Arabidopsis thaliana: one gene and its partners. The protein of the gene in region 2 interacts with the protein of the main gene of each other region in a biochemical or structural test. Each region holds a gene or a part of one and is shown on either strand. Other genes may lie near its edges.

Region 1 (3,875 bases), on a different chromosome or scaffold from region 2:
CATACAAATTAATAGTAGGAAGTGACATAGAAACTATCTTAACATACAAAATCAACTTATCTTTACATTTTTCTAACTAGCTAATCAACAATGTAACAAAAAAATATTTGATTATTGATTGATAGTGTTATTATATATTCATACAAATGAGAAAAGATTTGAAATGATAGGCGAAATTTTTATTGAAAAGTTCTATCAATTTTTTTAAAAGTTTAGGACGACCCTATTCAGGACTATATATGATCATATGGATTACAATGGTCACTGAATAAATTATTTTGAATTATATCATTCCCTCTTGATTTGTCTTAATAATTCCTAAATAAATGCCTAGGTCAGCGAATTCGTTGTTGCATCAGTCACTTAATTATTACTCGATGATTCCTTTTATTACTAAAATTTATTGAAAATGGTCCCATTTATTGGAAGAATAAAGAAGTAGTTACACTAAAATTTAATTATAGTATATGCTTAAATTTGTAAACCGTTCTGGCCATTTTGTATATATATATACATATATGGGCTCTTTAAGACGAGAATTGAGTTTAGTTGTTTACAATTGGTTTTAACTGTACGGACAGTTTAGTTGAGCTTTAATGGCTCATTCTCTATGGTGCTATATTATGGTTTTAACACATGTACATTATTTCATAATACATATGTCATTAAAATGACATAGAGGACAAAATCTGTTGTTGATGTGTATCTGATCAGTGGAAGAAACTTACACATGCATGGAAACTTTCAAAAAGACAACTAAGCATAAACAAGAGATTAATTAGACTTAAGCTGAGTTAGTCTCTATATGACATAATTGATGTTTCTACTAAGCAAACCCCAAACTGTTATTCCCTTTCCAGATTCAAGCATTATTTGATTCGTCATTGATTTCATGGTCTTGGTGATGATACGAACCAAAAAGTTGTATAATTGGTTTATAAGATGTAGGTTCTTACAAAATTGACTATGTAACAAAATTATAGTATTGTTTTAAACGTAAATTAACGAGGCGCTTCTAGACATGTTCCGACAAACATATATAATAGTACAGATGATTTTATAGAATGTAGTTAATCGATGTATCTTCTGCTATAGGTATCTCTAATTTATTGTTCCGACCACCACAATTCTTTTCTAAGTATTTTATAAATTGGTTAACCATGTATCTTCTGTTGTGTAATTATAGCTAGTATCTTCATTTGAAATATTGTAAGGAATAGTTTGTCTAATTGCTTATGATATTTGACCATCTAAGTAAGTTTATGAACTAATTGTTTTTCAAAAAAGGTTGATTAACCTTAATTACGTGATAGTTTTAACATTAAAAGATTTCAACACTATGTTCTGGATGTTAACATATCCATCTCAAAACCATGATAAAACGCGTACAATGGAAGGGATCAAGCTAATTTGACAAATCTCTATTCACACCTCAACCATTCATATATATACCCTCGATATATGTCACATCATTGGTTTTAGCTTTTAATTGATTCTCATAAAATATAAAACCCAATTACGAGAAAAGACTTGTTCGATGGTTCTCATAGACCCTGACCAAATAAGACTTGTTCCTAAACAAATCGAATTAAATAGAGTTGTGGTTTACTCATACTTTAAATCGTTTTAAGAAAAAATAATGACTACTGTTACGTTGCTACTACGTCATAACTACCGAAAATGATTGCGTTTTCAATTGCTTTGAAAGGAAGCCAAAAAGGCAAAAACGGCAAAAAGGGAGAGAAAACGCGTTTGGGAATCTCAACGGCGTTTGTGTAAGAAAATAAAAGCGAAACTCCGTAACGGCGCCGTTATATACCATAACCTCCGTCCGCTCACCAAGGAAAATAAAATCTCAACCGTTGAAATAATCAACGGCTCATGATTCATTCTCTCTCCTTCCCCACCAAAATCTCCTCTGCTTTGTTAAGAAGCGAACCAGAAATAGAAAGAAAAAAAAGCAGAGAGAGAGAGCACACAAAAATCCAAGAGAGAAAAAAATGAGCGAGAGAAAGCGAGAGCTTGCAGAAGAAGCTTCAAGCACAAGCTTCTCACCACTGAAGAAAACGAAGCTTAATGATTCTTCTGATTCATCACCGGACTCTCATGACGTCATCGTCTTCGCGGTTTCATCTTCTTCCGTTGCTTCGTCGGCGGCTTTAGCGTCTGATGAATGTTCCGTTACCATCGGTGGAGAAGAAAGTGATCAGTCCTCGAGTATCAGCTCCGGTTGTTTCACCAGTGAATCGAAAGAAATCGCGAAGAACAGTTCGTCGTTTGGTGTAGATCTGGAGGTGAATTTTCAAAATCAAATAACTCCTCTCTACTTGAATCGATTTAATCAGACGATTTTCTCAGTTTTCGTTTTGATTTTTTATTTCCGTTTCTGTGTTTCAGGATCATCAAATCGAAACCGAAACCGAAACCTCAACATTCATCACCAGCAATTTCAGGTTCATAATCTTTTTGTTTCCCCCCCCCCCCAAATTAGACGTTCAATCGATTTTATTCTCCTTGGCGATTTTTTCTCTGTTTTTTATGGCAGAAAAGAGACGAGTCCAGTGAGTGAGGGTTTGGGAGAAACGACAACAGAAATGGAATCATCATCGGCAACGAAGAGAAAACAACCGGGGGTGAGGAAGACTCCAACGGCGGCGGAGATTGAGGATTTGTTCTCGGAGCTAGAGAGTCAAGACGATAAGAAGAAGCAATTCATAGAAAAGTGAGTCCATTTTTACAATTTCATCATCTCTCTCACGTGTGTTCTTGTTGTTGTTGTGTGCGCTTTGCTTTTTGGGGTTTGGGAAAAATTGGAGTGAGTCCGTACCTAGAGAGAGAGAGAGAGGAATGTGAGTAAAAATGTCTGCGTGCGCATGATAAAAAGATTAACCGACGCGTAGTTTAGCAAATATCCTAAAAAGAGAGAGAATCAGAATCCTAACGAACACACACACTTTGGCACAGGTACAACTTCGATATTGTCAATGACGAACCGCTTGAAGGTCGCTACAAGTGGGATCGACTTTAAGCCATCAAAAAGCAAATACCATCCATGAAGAAGACAAAAGAAAAATAGGTTTTGTTTTTCGTGGTTAACATTTCCACTTGTACAGCTCTAGTCTATTTCTCTTTAAAAACCTATGTTACTAGTTCGTACAAAACAAAACAAAAAACACGACCTTTATAATGAAATTTCGGATCTTGGCTACTAATTACGGTGATTTCGTTGGTTTGTTATGTTTCTGTTTTAAAATCAAAAATGGTTTTGGCAGAGTTTTAAGTGCATGAATATAGAAAGGTGCTTCTTGTTTGGATTCTTTTAAAACATTGGATGCTTAATTATTACAATTATTTTATCTTACTCAAAACTATTATTTTTTGTTTGTCTCATGTCATTCTTATTCTTACACTTGCAGTTTATGTTATATTTAAATGTTTCATGTCATATAGTACCCAATTTACAAAAATATCTGAAACCAAAAATTGATGTTTTAAAAAAAAAATTGGAGAAAAGAGGAAAGGTACATGACATGACGGCACAGTAATACAGTTGGTTTGTACTTCTCTAAAAACTGCGATCATACAAAATACAAATATTATATTTTTTCTATTTTTTTCACTAATATTCTTTTATTTTATTTTGGAATATTCCTCTATTTTGGCACTAAACACAGGGTCCACTTAGTTAAAACCATTTTGGCCTTCATTAGATAAAACCAAAAAGCGGCCTATGCGGAGTAGTAATTTATCCTAATGAAGTGTGTTACTGTAACAAAATATCATCAATGAGTGATACTATATAAAAACGATTACATAGGATATATTTACGTGGATTAGCTTTTTGGTAACGCATTAAAAAAGGTTAATCTCATCAT
Region 2 (7,695 bases):
AACTACATAAACATACATTATGCAAAGAAATTTGAGAAAATTAAATAAAATACAACAAATAAAACTTATTGAACCAAAATTTTATCAGATTTTTTTAGTTTAATGAGATCCTATAAATTTGGATTTTGAGAGTATTAAGTGAACAAAAAAACAAGTGTAAGTGAACCTAATTACGAACCGGGTAACCGATTTACTGGTTTAACCCACCAAATCCGCTGTAATTCCAAAACACACTGTTGAGAAAAGTAAGAACCCAAGCGAAACAGAGAGCCTTTAAATAATTTCCATTTCATTCTCATATATACAAGAAAAAAGAGAGGCCTAGAGATCACAAGACCAGGTCTACAAAATTATCACAGACCTTTGTTTGTTTGTGTTTTTTCTTATTTATCCTATAAATCTATATAATCCTTCTTCCTTTGCTCCCATCCTAAAGATCTTTCCTTCTGTGTCTACTACATCAACAACCTGTAACCGCAACTAACCCGAGCTTCATGTGCTTCTTTTGTGACCATCATCGTCTTCTTCTTCTTCTTCTTCTTTATCTCTTATAACATCTATCACCGTAGCATTGCAGAAAAAACATCTCTGACAGTTGAGAAGATGTCTAGTTATGCAGCCATAACATGATCGATGTGAACACGGAGCAATCATTGCATTAGCCTCCCCCGCGTAGCAGATACAGCAAGTGTTGTCTTCTATATCTGTCGTGTCTTTGTTGAATGACTCTTCTTTTCTTTCGGGTTCTTGCGATGAAGCCCGGTTTATGAGATGGCTCAAGAAGTTCTCAAGCTGTCCAAGTTTCTTTACATAGGCATCATCCCCGCTTACACAACCGTCCTGAAAATGTTTTTGAAAAGCTGTGTCAGTAGGAGAAGCAAACGAGCAGAAACTAGATTTAAGAGCTTACGTACCCAATTATATTCCAAGAGATACTGAAACCCGTAATAGACTGTATCGGGACAGTCCATGCTTGCGAAAAGACCAATTACATCATGTTGTTGCTTTGGTTTTGAGTCTTCACTAGCCTCCAAGAGATTCAAGATTATACCAACCAAAGGAGCTAATAAGATCCCTCGGCTAACTTTCTCTGAAGGTTGTCCCTGCCGTCTAAGTGACCTGACAGATCTCAAAACAAGAAGAAAACAATATCAATTAAAAATTAGCGATTTCCAACAAAGTTAGAGCTATTTGGGATATTTTTGAACTTACAGATCAAAGAACTCGTCATCTACTGCTGAGGTCATGTGATTCAAGATGAAAAGAATCAACTCAGTGAGCCTACGAAGATTCGTGTCAGTCCCAGCAAGAAATGCTTGTGGCATTGCGTAAGTGCAGAATTCTAAGACCCTTGCGAGATTGCTTGAAAGCTCAAATATCACACAACATTTCCTTTGCTGAAACTCCATTACCTGCATAAAGACAAGACGAATCAAAAACCGGACAAAGAAGCAAATAGAGTACTACAAAAACTTGTAAGGGAAATGCAGAATAAGAACCACAATCATTCAGGGAAAACTATTCAATTACTACGAAAACTTAATCGATGAAAATGATCCAAGCTTATAATCTGACCTGATACTTTTCTTGCATTTCTCGCACCGAGACAGAAAATTCAGTGATGGTCCAGCTCAGTGTGTTGAATAGACGGTTAAGAAAAGTAGAAAGTAATTCACCATCATTGATACAAGCATCTCGTAGAAGCGCCTAGACGAAAAAGAAAATCAAAATCCAATATGTAGACTGAGGATCAGATAGGAACAAAGTCAAATCAATCTAACCAACCTGGAAAACAGTAGACGAAAACGAAGACTCTCCGTTCTTTAAAGAACTAAACCCAGAACCTTTGCAAAGACGAAGAAATATATTTGTGACAGGGATCCAAGATCTGTTGTCAAACGCTGCCAGTAGTGCTGCAGGCATGTGTCGAGTAGCTGCCTCATTGTTCTCGAAAGCTTCCAAGTACTCTTTGTACTGTACCAGGACGGATATTGACTGGAGAAGTAGATCTTTAAGATCTGTATTCGATATCCTTGAATCGTTGAAGTGTGTAACTACGAAAGTGATCTGGAAACCCAAGAATTTGCAATGACCATGTTAGAGCTAATCAACTAACAGTCAGCCATGAGGAAAAATAACAGACAAAAAAGATTGTGTGATAAGAGTTTAGGCATACAAATGATGAAAGTCCTTGTTTGATGAATGTTGTTGATGGGACAAACGGAGGATCGCTCTTGCGAAGCACATGGAAACAGTCTACCTGAGGAAATAATCAAAGAGATTGTAAACTTAGGGATTTCATTGAGAAACAGAGAAAACGCAACAGAATAAGTTGTTGGAAGATCTACTAACTTTGATCAAAGAGAAACTGAAACATGTTCATTTGACATTTATATCAAGAAGTACCAGAAATGTGCAAAAGCTGTTTACCAAAGATTCAAGGTAGAACTCTGGAATATAAACAAACACAGAATCCATTTTGCTGAGAACCAGAAGTAGCTGTACAACCCACATGCACAATGCATACATTCCCCTTTGCTTCCATCGAGAGAACAATGAGATGCGGAACCTGACAAAATGATTCAGAATGAGGGCAAAAATATAGATTGTAATGTTGCCTCACATGAATCATAACTGAAACCTCTTCACTACACCCTCCTTCTGGAGTTAACGCAATCCATGAGTTAAGTGAAACTTACCATGCGGAATGTCTAACACAGTCCATCACGTCTTCTTTGTAGTTGTTGCGAGCTTCCTTCAAGCGCTTTATTTGGTCACAAGAAGCCCGTTCTCTTATCTGTTTATCAGTTTCTTCAAGAAGTGATATTGATTGCGATTGGTGAGACATGTAATATGATGCCTAAGAAAAGCAGAAAGAGAACCTATCAGCCTCTCAAGCTTATTCAGGTTGTGGTATGTATCGTACAAAAAATACAACAAAATCTAATTAAGACGGGAATAATTAAAATTACCTGCTTAAAATTTGGAGCAACAGCAATATGGTATAATAGCAATAGAGCATCCAATAGTTCTTCTTCGCTTAGTATAGCAGATGAGATTCTACTCTCTTGAAGTGCAGTCCGCATAAATCTTACTGGACGATAACCAAAGTCAGGGTCAGACTGATTACTTGTGCTAGGTTTGTCGTCTATTTCTTCACTGAAACTTCCAGCACTACATTCTGCAGCAACATGAGAGGATCTCTCAGGAATGGAACTGCATCGACCACGAGAACTTTGAGCAGTATTTTTTCCTCGATCCTTCAAGGATTTAGTAAGATCGGTATCATAAGCTAAGCAACAGCATGGCTTTTGCTCAGTCGCGTGAGTTACTCTATTCTGTTCATCATCCATACAACCTTCTTCCCACCGCATTATTTCTTCTTCTTGATCATCTGTGGGGTAGGACTTCGATATATGACTAAATAGCCCGCCAAGCCTAGTAATATCAGCGCGATGTGGATCATTTTTAAGAAACAAACTCAATGGAAACTTCTGCTGACCACCTCTGTGAAGAAAACCAACATTGTGATGGACGGCTTCACTACTCTTCAGCATTGCAAAACCTTCTGACAAGAAGTGGAGTATAACTGAGAACAAAGAGACAAGAACCGAATTGCGTGTAACTCCAGAAGGGGCCAGAGTCCTATCTGCGCCTCTGTTCTTCAATAAAAGGTTCTGTAGGAATCCCCTGAAAGCTGAACCAGGAAGCTGGGGAGGTGATACAGGTGGTATGAATTGTATGACCAAGAGACAGAGGTTCCTCTGCTTCTCCTCAATCTGAATTCCAAGAGAAAGAATTACTTAATTATGTTCCTCAGATTCCAGAGGAGACTTATGCCAGCGGTTATTTATAGAAAAATAAAATAAGTCAGAAATAACCTATCATACCTTGTTAATGGCTTCAGAGAGAGCGGAGATCGTAAATCCCATGCTACTCTCGTAGGATATATCTTCAGAGGATCCAGGCCACCAAACAACAGGCATTAAGTGCTGTAAGTCATGCTTGTTGGAACTCCTGCATGACAAGAAACCTTCAAACAAAAACTCGAAATGCAAAGATCTCCACCATTGTACCATCAATTCTTCCCGTTTAAACAAATGACAAGCCAGCGCCAGATAGGGATAAGGTCCGGAGTATGGACACTCGGTTAAAATCAGTGTCGCTGTTTTGCAGCCACAAGCCAGAGCGTTTACTACATGCTCAAAGATCAAATGAGATTGTGGGAACTCAAGAAACACATCAAGAACTTTGTCTAAACTTGACGAATCATGCGGTGCTTGAGTTCTGAAAGTCTCCAAGAGGAATGACAGAAATGCACCCCGTCCTAAGTACTCCGCCAACAAAGGGTCTTGCTCAAGTATATAAAAGAACTCATCACATATGGCAGACGAAACAGGGCAAAAGAGTTCTTCGACTGAGGCAAATCTCCTCAGTCGACTTAATGTATCAGCCAATGAGCGGTCTGGCCTATCCAGCAGTCTTGAGAAGCATCGTAGTAGCTCTGTTGCAAATGAAAATCGAGTTGGAGCTTCTTGAAGAGGTTGGAAACCGTCAACAGGGTACTTAAACGGGTAAGCGCCGAAATTTAACTCGCATCTCTCACCTTGGGAGAGAGATATAGCAGGGTAATACCCAAATCCAGGTCCAAGTTTTCTAATACCAGTAAATGCAGCCCCGAGGGAGACACCATTCCTGTAGAAGTAAATCTCATCACAGTTCAAATCTATGCAGCAACCGATGACATCCCCAGCAACCCATGATTGACCATAAGGTTCAGCTTCCTTGTTCCATTTGCTTACCCTTCGACCATCAAAAGCATATGAATCATCAGCATCACCCACACCTTTCTGGTCAGTGAAAGGGCAAGCAAGTGTTGCCCATCCAAGTTGTTGAATTCCCGAGGTCTCTAAAGCGACTTCATACATCCATTTTCCTTTCCAAATACAAGCATTAGCCCTGGCGCTACTGAAAAGTGCTAAGCTCTCCAATACAAGAGGTGGCTTCACAATCCTGATATCACCACATATGCTAAACTCTTCAAGGCCAACAATAGGAGGTCCAACACCATGATGAACTACACTGATTCCTTCTCTCTGACTAACTGAAACATCCAAATCACCATGAAGCTTCGAGAACTGATTCTTAATCACAGCTCTAATCAAGCTACTGTCTACTTGACCATCCAATGGACCAACCGACTTTTCTGCTAAACCAAATATGAATTCGATAGTCCGTTCTAAAGGCCGGTGACCAGAATAATCAAAATGTGGAACAATACGAGCTTTCGAGGAATTTTCTTTAGCATCTTCACCATTCAGTAAAACAGCCAAACCAGATGAAATCATACCAACCCGTAGGCTGTCTTCAGCCATATGGCATTGATTGTGAACCAAACGCGCTTTCAACACAACCAATTACAAGAGAACCAAAGTCTGTATCTATTCAACGAGACCTCATCAGAGACAATTCGAAAATGATTCAGAAAAGCTGTGAAGAGAAGAAGAACAAAAAAAAAAGTAGCATAAGTTTCCAAAAATCAATACTTGAATCAAAAAGCTTTCAAATTTATGTGATGAACAGGGATTAACAAAAAGAGAAAGCTATTCAATTTCAATCAATTAGAAAGAAAAAAACACCAAAATCAGAACGGAAAATTCGAAACTCACCGGAGAAATTGACATGAAAAGCGATTAACCCAGAAGCCAAAATCAATCAATACCCAGATTCTTCAAACCAAAGACGGCGGACTTGTGCTAGGGTTTTTCAAATAAATTAAACAGGAGAAGACTTTTCGCTTCTTTTTTTTTCTTCTTCTTCCTCGAAGAGAGAGAGAGAGAGAGATTTTGCGCCCAATATTTTTGGGGGAACAGAGAAGAAGAATTGAAGAAAGAGAGAGAGAGGAATCAGAAGACCGGTGGCTAACACCGAACGAGCCAATGGATCATGTGGCGTGTGGGTTTTTTACCGACACGTGTCGGTGTCGATGACGTGGCTGATGACGTATTATATCGACGGTCTGGTCTGGTAACTTTTATAGAAGGAGAAGGAGGAAAGTTTACGATGCGGACGGTCTTACGTTTATTTTGACACGTGGCGTAGTAGATGTTAACGTGTTCTTAAATCAAATTACAAAATTACAAAAAGTAAACAACGCTTTTTAATTTTTCTCCTTCTGTTTTCTTTTTTAGTGTTAACATTATGAGATTTGTTTTACTGAAGATATTTCCTGTTATTTGGATTAATCAAAAATAACAAAAAAAAAGGTGCTGTAAAACTTAGCAATTTAAAGGTAAAGTTAAAAGAATGTTAGTATCACCACTAACTAAAGAAAAAATCACAAAAATAATATGGTATTGTTTGAATATTCTTTTTTTTTTCATTTTAGTGTTAGTATTATGAGATTTTCGTGTAAAATTTTTGCTAAAAACATTGTTAAAAAAAATTAGTTTTGTTTATCGCTTTTAAATAGTTATTATTTTTAGTTTAAAAAAAAAAAATATTATTGTTTATTATCAAAGATGATTTGGTTTCGACTACCCGTGAAATTTTCGAATGTGATTACAGTTGTCGAATAGCGTATTTACTGTATTTTATTTAAGTGGATCTAAAATATGATATAATTATGATTAATCTAAAAAGAAATGTAAATTTAAGTTATATATCACTTTTGTAAATAATTTCTCTCGGAATTATTTTTTTTAAGTCCTTAATAATATCTTATGACAAAAAAAAAAATATGAATCTAGTTATCAGGTTTCCTTGGTAAAGAAAAATTTAGATGTAAGTTTCCTATTTGTAGATTCTATAATCATAACGGGTTTCACAAACAATTATAATACTGGTATCATTCGTTGACAAGAACTAATAATAATCTGGAGTTGACTTAATTAGAAAACTTTATTTGTAAATCAATTGTCAAAAGCCATTCGTATATTCTTAATACATTATGCAAATTAAAGAAGAGTGTTACTATAATGTATGCACGAAAACTATTCAAGTGGATGTAAAGACGATTGAAATCGACGGAACGTGACGGAGCAGTTGTTGACAAGTCACCGGAGCTTTTGCAAACTTCCGATAGACACACGACCTTGTCAACGACCTGAGAGTATAAATAATTGAAAATATCAACTCGATCTCTAAACACACCACGTGGAAAGCTATGAGACCACTGTCGGCTAATGACTAATAAAAGAAGTATCGTGCACGTGTTCCACGTTGATCAACAGCCACTTCACTGGCTGATGTCTCTGTTATTCAGATAGTGACTTAAGACGGCATTATATTGTCTTCAAGGGAAATATTAAAACGCTGCGTTTCCGTGTGATGGAATAATTTTGCAACCGTTGCCACTTTTACTTTTGGGAATTTGGTTGAACAGCAACTTGTTTTTTTTTTTTTGGTAAATATTTTTGGTTGAACTTGTCATTCAATGTAGCAAAACTTAGTAAAAATGCTACAAAACATAAAGATTTTCAAATGTGCCAAACCTCAGCTCTATGGACGATTTCCCTGTTCTAACTATACTAAAATGCATAGTTTTGGTGTAGTGATTAACAAAAATATGTATGGAATATAATCATGATGATAATGATAATGGTAAGATTATGCTTTTACTTTTGATTAAAAGCTAGTGATATGATTTGCCTCTTAATTTGAGTAGATGATTTTCAATGTTTGGTACTATTTTCA
Region 3 (3,568 bases), on a different chromosome or scaffold from region 2:
TTTAAATGACTCAACTTCTTCTTCTTCTTCTTCTTTTTTTTGGTTGTTGCTAATCGAGTATAAATTATAGGCGTTAGGTACACCAACCATATCTAATATCCATGTTATATTAGATAGATAAATTAGGAAAATAAAATAATACAACTCAAAATAGTTACTTTGTTGAAAGAAATTGAGAGGGAAAAACTGGAAGTGTATATTTAAGCTATTTTATTTTTAAAAAATATATAATTTCAAATAGCTAAATTTGTAAAATGCAAGGAGATAGTACAATATTTTAGTTTAATAACTTGTAAAGCACAAACAAGTTCGTAGTTAATCACTAGAGTAGCACCTACAATCCAATCCAAGTGAGAATAAAATAGTAACTTTTTTACTGAAAAAGCCTGATCAATAAACAGTTATATTCCTTTACCACGTCAGCCGTGACCCTTTTTTGTTCTGCTCTACACTCTCTTTTCATTGTTAAAAAAAAAAAATCAAATACTGTATGATAATTGATACATAGAAATAATAGAAGCTATTTAGTTTTCAGTAACAATTATAATTACTCTTAGAGTTATAAACTTATAGTTTATTAATCGAGAAAAACACGAATCTAATTAATTACCTCAAGGAAGTACAAACAAAAGTTGAATTACATGTTATTGATTATTCGAGAGAAAGATATCTACATTTGGATTTTGTTAAAAGAAAAATCAAAGCAAAGATTATTACAGAAGAGAAATAATAAGTACTTTGGTGAAAACAATGATCATCATTATCATCATCGTCTTCTTCATGGATTCAATTTAACCCACTCGTATCTTCCTCCACCAAGTGGCTCATCTTTCTCGAAATCGAAGTTATACCTAACAACAAATTCATTATCAGTTTCAAAAATTCGATTAAAAGATTTGAATCAAAAAAAAAAAACTTACTTCATAGAACATTCCAACAACTTATTCCGAAGATCTTTCTCCGCCACCTGAAAAAAGTCTTCTAACTCAGCTTCCTTCACCGTCTCATGGAGACTCTTCCTTAACCTGCGGCGAGACTCTACATCTTCAACAGCCACCGAAGAAGAATCCATGTTCATCGATTCCTCACTATACACAAAAAAATCAAAGACATTTTATAGAAATGTTTGTTACTGATTCAAAATTTTAATATCTGTAACAAATTAAACAAACCTCTTATTCAAATCATCGTAAATCCACGACGTTTCTGTTTCACGATCGTCACCGTTATTTTCCTGGAAAAACGAATTCAAAAATTTCAAAATCTGTAAATCAAAATTCAGTTTCGATAAATAATGCTTTCGTTGTCACCTCAAGATCTACAAATTCGATTCTCCGTTTCGATTTCTCTTCCGATGTAGAACAACACGAAACCGACGAATCTTCTTCTTCGATTTGACACTGTTCTTCAACCGGAGGAGAATCTCGCCGTCGTACTATAACAACACTCGTCTCCGACGCTCCTGCTGAATTTCTCGCCACAATTCCACCGCGATTCGTCGCCTGTACACACGGAGACAGAATTATCCTAGATTCCACTAAATCCACTTCCTCCTCCATCTTCCTTCGTTTCACCGTCGTCGTCGTAACTCCATTCTCTTCAACCACATCTCGTTCTCTTCTCCTAACCGCCGCCATAATCTCCTACGACGTCACCTTCCAGATCTCTATCTCTCTCTAAAATCACTCGTTATGTGTGCGTGTTTGTGTTTCTCTCTCTTTCTCTCTACTAGAGAGTCTCTAGCTCGCGTACCATTTGGGTTATTCTGTTATAAGATGGTGACGATCTTCGTTTTGATCGTAATTTGTTAACGGCCACGATTAACTCTTGTCATTTTCATATAAAGCCTCGTGTGAAGTAGGAATAGTAATTCTTTTAATATGTAACGGAGAATTTGACGGCGCCGTTAAAAATCGAGTATTTTATACCTTACACGATTGATACGTGTCTTTTATTCGTTACGATTACATTAATAGTTTCAAAGTTTACAAAATCAGTGCAATTAGTGCATATCTAGTTACTTTAGAATGATAAATTTTTTTGAATTCAAATTTTTTTGAATTAATATGTTGTTTTTATTTATTTTAATATAATTGGCTGGCTTTTCCAATAAATCAACGAGAATGAAAATAATTATTGTGGATATTAAGATAAAACTGTTTATTTTTTGTTATAATAATTACGAATTTATATTATAAAGATAACAATAATACCATCAAATTATCATATTAATTCACAGACGATCAAATAGATAAAAAAATGTGTGTAAAGCAATATAATGTATATGCAACATGGAATTTGACAACGATGTTATAGATCGAGTATCTTATACCTTTACACGATCAACATATGTCTTTTATTCGATGTGATTACATTAACGGTGTCAACGTTTACAGAATCAGTGCATATCTACGACTACGTTAACGGTGTCAACGTTTACAGAATCAGTGCATAATTTTTTTTTTAGAATGGTAAATAGAATTTGAATTCAATTTTTTAATTAATATGTTTTCTGTTTTTTAAAATAATTGGTTGGTGTTTCCAATGAAATAGAATGAGAATAATTATCGTGGATTTTAAAAATAAATTTAGATTTGATAATTTTTTGTTGTAATAATTGCGAATTTAGATTATAAAGACAATAAAAATCTTAGATTTATAGAGAAAAATGACAATATCATCCAATCATCTTAAATAGATTAAAAAAAATGTGTGTAAAGCAATGTAATGTTGTCACGTTACATTATTAGTGATAATATGTGTTTCTGTGTTAAGATCTTATCAGTATTTGACAATGTAGTTGTGTATAGTTTTTCAATGCATAGTCGTAATATTTCAATTTTGTGAGGGGGTCGACCGTACACATATCAAAATAAGGTATAAAATACATTAAGTCTAAAATACATTAAGTCTAGGGCCATGACGTATTTAACGGTTAGGTGATAATGAAATCAATGCTGCGACATGCTGTTTTGTTGTGGCAATACAATACGTACACAAACATATTCACATGCTTAAATATTACTACTAATTCACACAGTGAATTAAATACTACTAGTTCATATCGCATACATTTCGTTGGTAAAAATAAAAGAATTTTTTTCCATCATCATTTTCGTCTTATATTGAATTTTTTCTTTTTTTTTAATGCCGTCGTTCTGTATCGATTCTTGAGTTCACACAAGACAGTGTCTGCGCATATCCATCATACCATTCAATTTAATAATGTGCCCACGAGCTGCATACTCAATCATTACTAAACTGTCTCTCTCTTTTTTACACTCACTATAACAATGTGTAAGTATATATACATACTTATGAGATATTCAAAATAAAATAGTGAGCTAAACATATAATGTAGTTTAAAAATTCGCATAATATATGTTGTTGACTTCAAAAGAACAAAGATTATCATAACAATTACTACGAAAATAAAATTATCATATATCTATGTATACATCCGTAGTTCTTAATTATGAAAACTTAAACGCTAGTACCAACAAATGAATCCCTAAGTTTTAAAATCTCTCAATGAATACATATTGATATTCGTTTTGAAGGATAATTT

Evidence for each region.
Region 1: the proteins of RKP (region 2) and KRP6 form a complex in vitro, tested with the Arabidopsis thaliana proteins (one study listed by BioGRID).
Region 3: the proteins of RKP (region 2) and KRP2 form a complex in vitro, tested with the Arabidopsis thaliana proteins (one study listed by BioGRID).

What each region holds. Positions count from the first base shown.
Region 1 is NC_003074.8:6,615,781-6,619,655, reverse strand, and holds KRP6 (KIP-related protein 6), read left to right. Parts: upstream 1-1,704; 5' UTR 1,705-2,000; coding exon 2,001-2,294; intron 2,295-2,397; coding exon 2,398-2,453; coding exon of another isoform or gene 2,454-2,545; coding exon 2,546-2,722; coding exon of another isoform or gene 2,723-2,726; exon of another isoform or gene 2,727-2,964; coding exon 2,965-3,028; 3' UTR 3,029-3,326; downstream 3,327-3,875. UniProt on the Arabidopsis thaliana protein: Binds and inhibits CYCD2-1/CDKA-1 complex kinase activity. Regulates cell division which is crucial for plant growth, development and morphogenesis. May inhibit CDK kinases specifically involved in the G1/S phase transition.
Region 2 is NC_003071.7:9,363,454-9,371,148, forward strand, and holds the start of RKP (uncharacterized protein), read right to left. Parts: upstream 6,009-7,695; 5' UTR 5,670-6,008; intron 5,491-5,669; 5' UTR 5,376-5,490; coding exon 3,891-5,375; intron 3,780-3,890; coding exon 2,973-3,779; intron 2,861-2,972; coding exon 2,700-2,860; intron 2,570-2,699; coding exon 2,431-2,569; intron 2,261-2,430; coding exon 2,177-2,260; intron 2,068-2,176; coding exon 1,786-2,067; intron 1,708-1,785; coding exon 1,576-1,707; intron 1,413-1,575; coding exon 1,213-1,412; intron 1,129-1,212; coding exon 915-1,128; intron 841-914; coding exon 493-840; 3' UTR 1-492. UniProt on the Arabidopsis thaliana protein: E3 ubiquitin-protein ligase that promotes the ubiquitination and proteasomal degradation of KRP1 and KRP2.
Region 3 is NC_003074.8:18,798,577-18,802,144, reverse strand, and holds KRP2 (KIP-related protein 2), read right to left. Parts: upstream 1,840-3,568; 5' UTR 1,638-1,839; coding exon 1,311-1,637; intron 1,235-1,310; coding exon 1,173-1,234; intron 1,089-1,172; coding exon 921-1,088; coding exon of another isoform or gene 917-920; exon of another isoform or gene 852-916; coding exon 779-851; 3' UTR 550-778; downstream 1-549. UniProt on the Arabidopsis thaliana protein: Binds and inhibits CYCD2-1/CDKA-1 complex kinase activity. Regulates cell division which is crucial for plant growth, development and morphogenesis. May regulate early lateral root initiation by blocking the G1/S phase transition.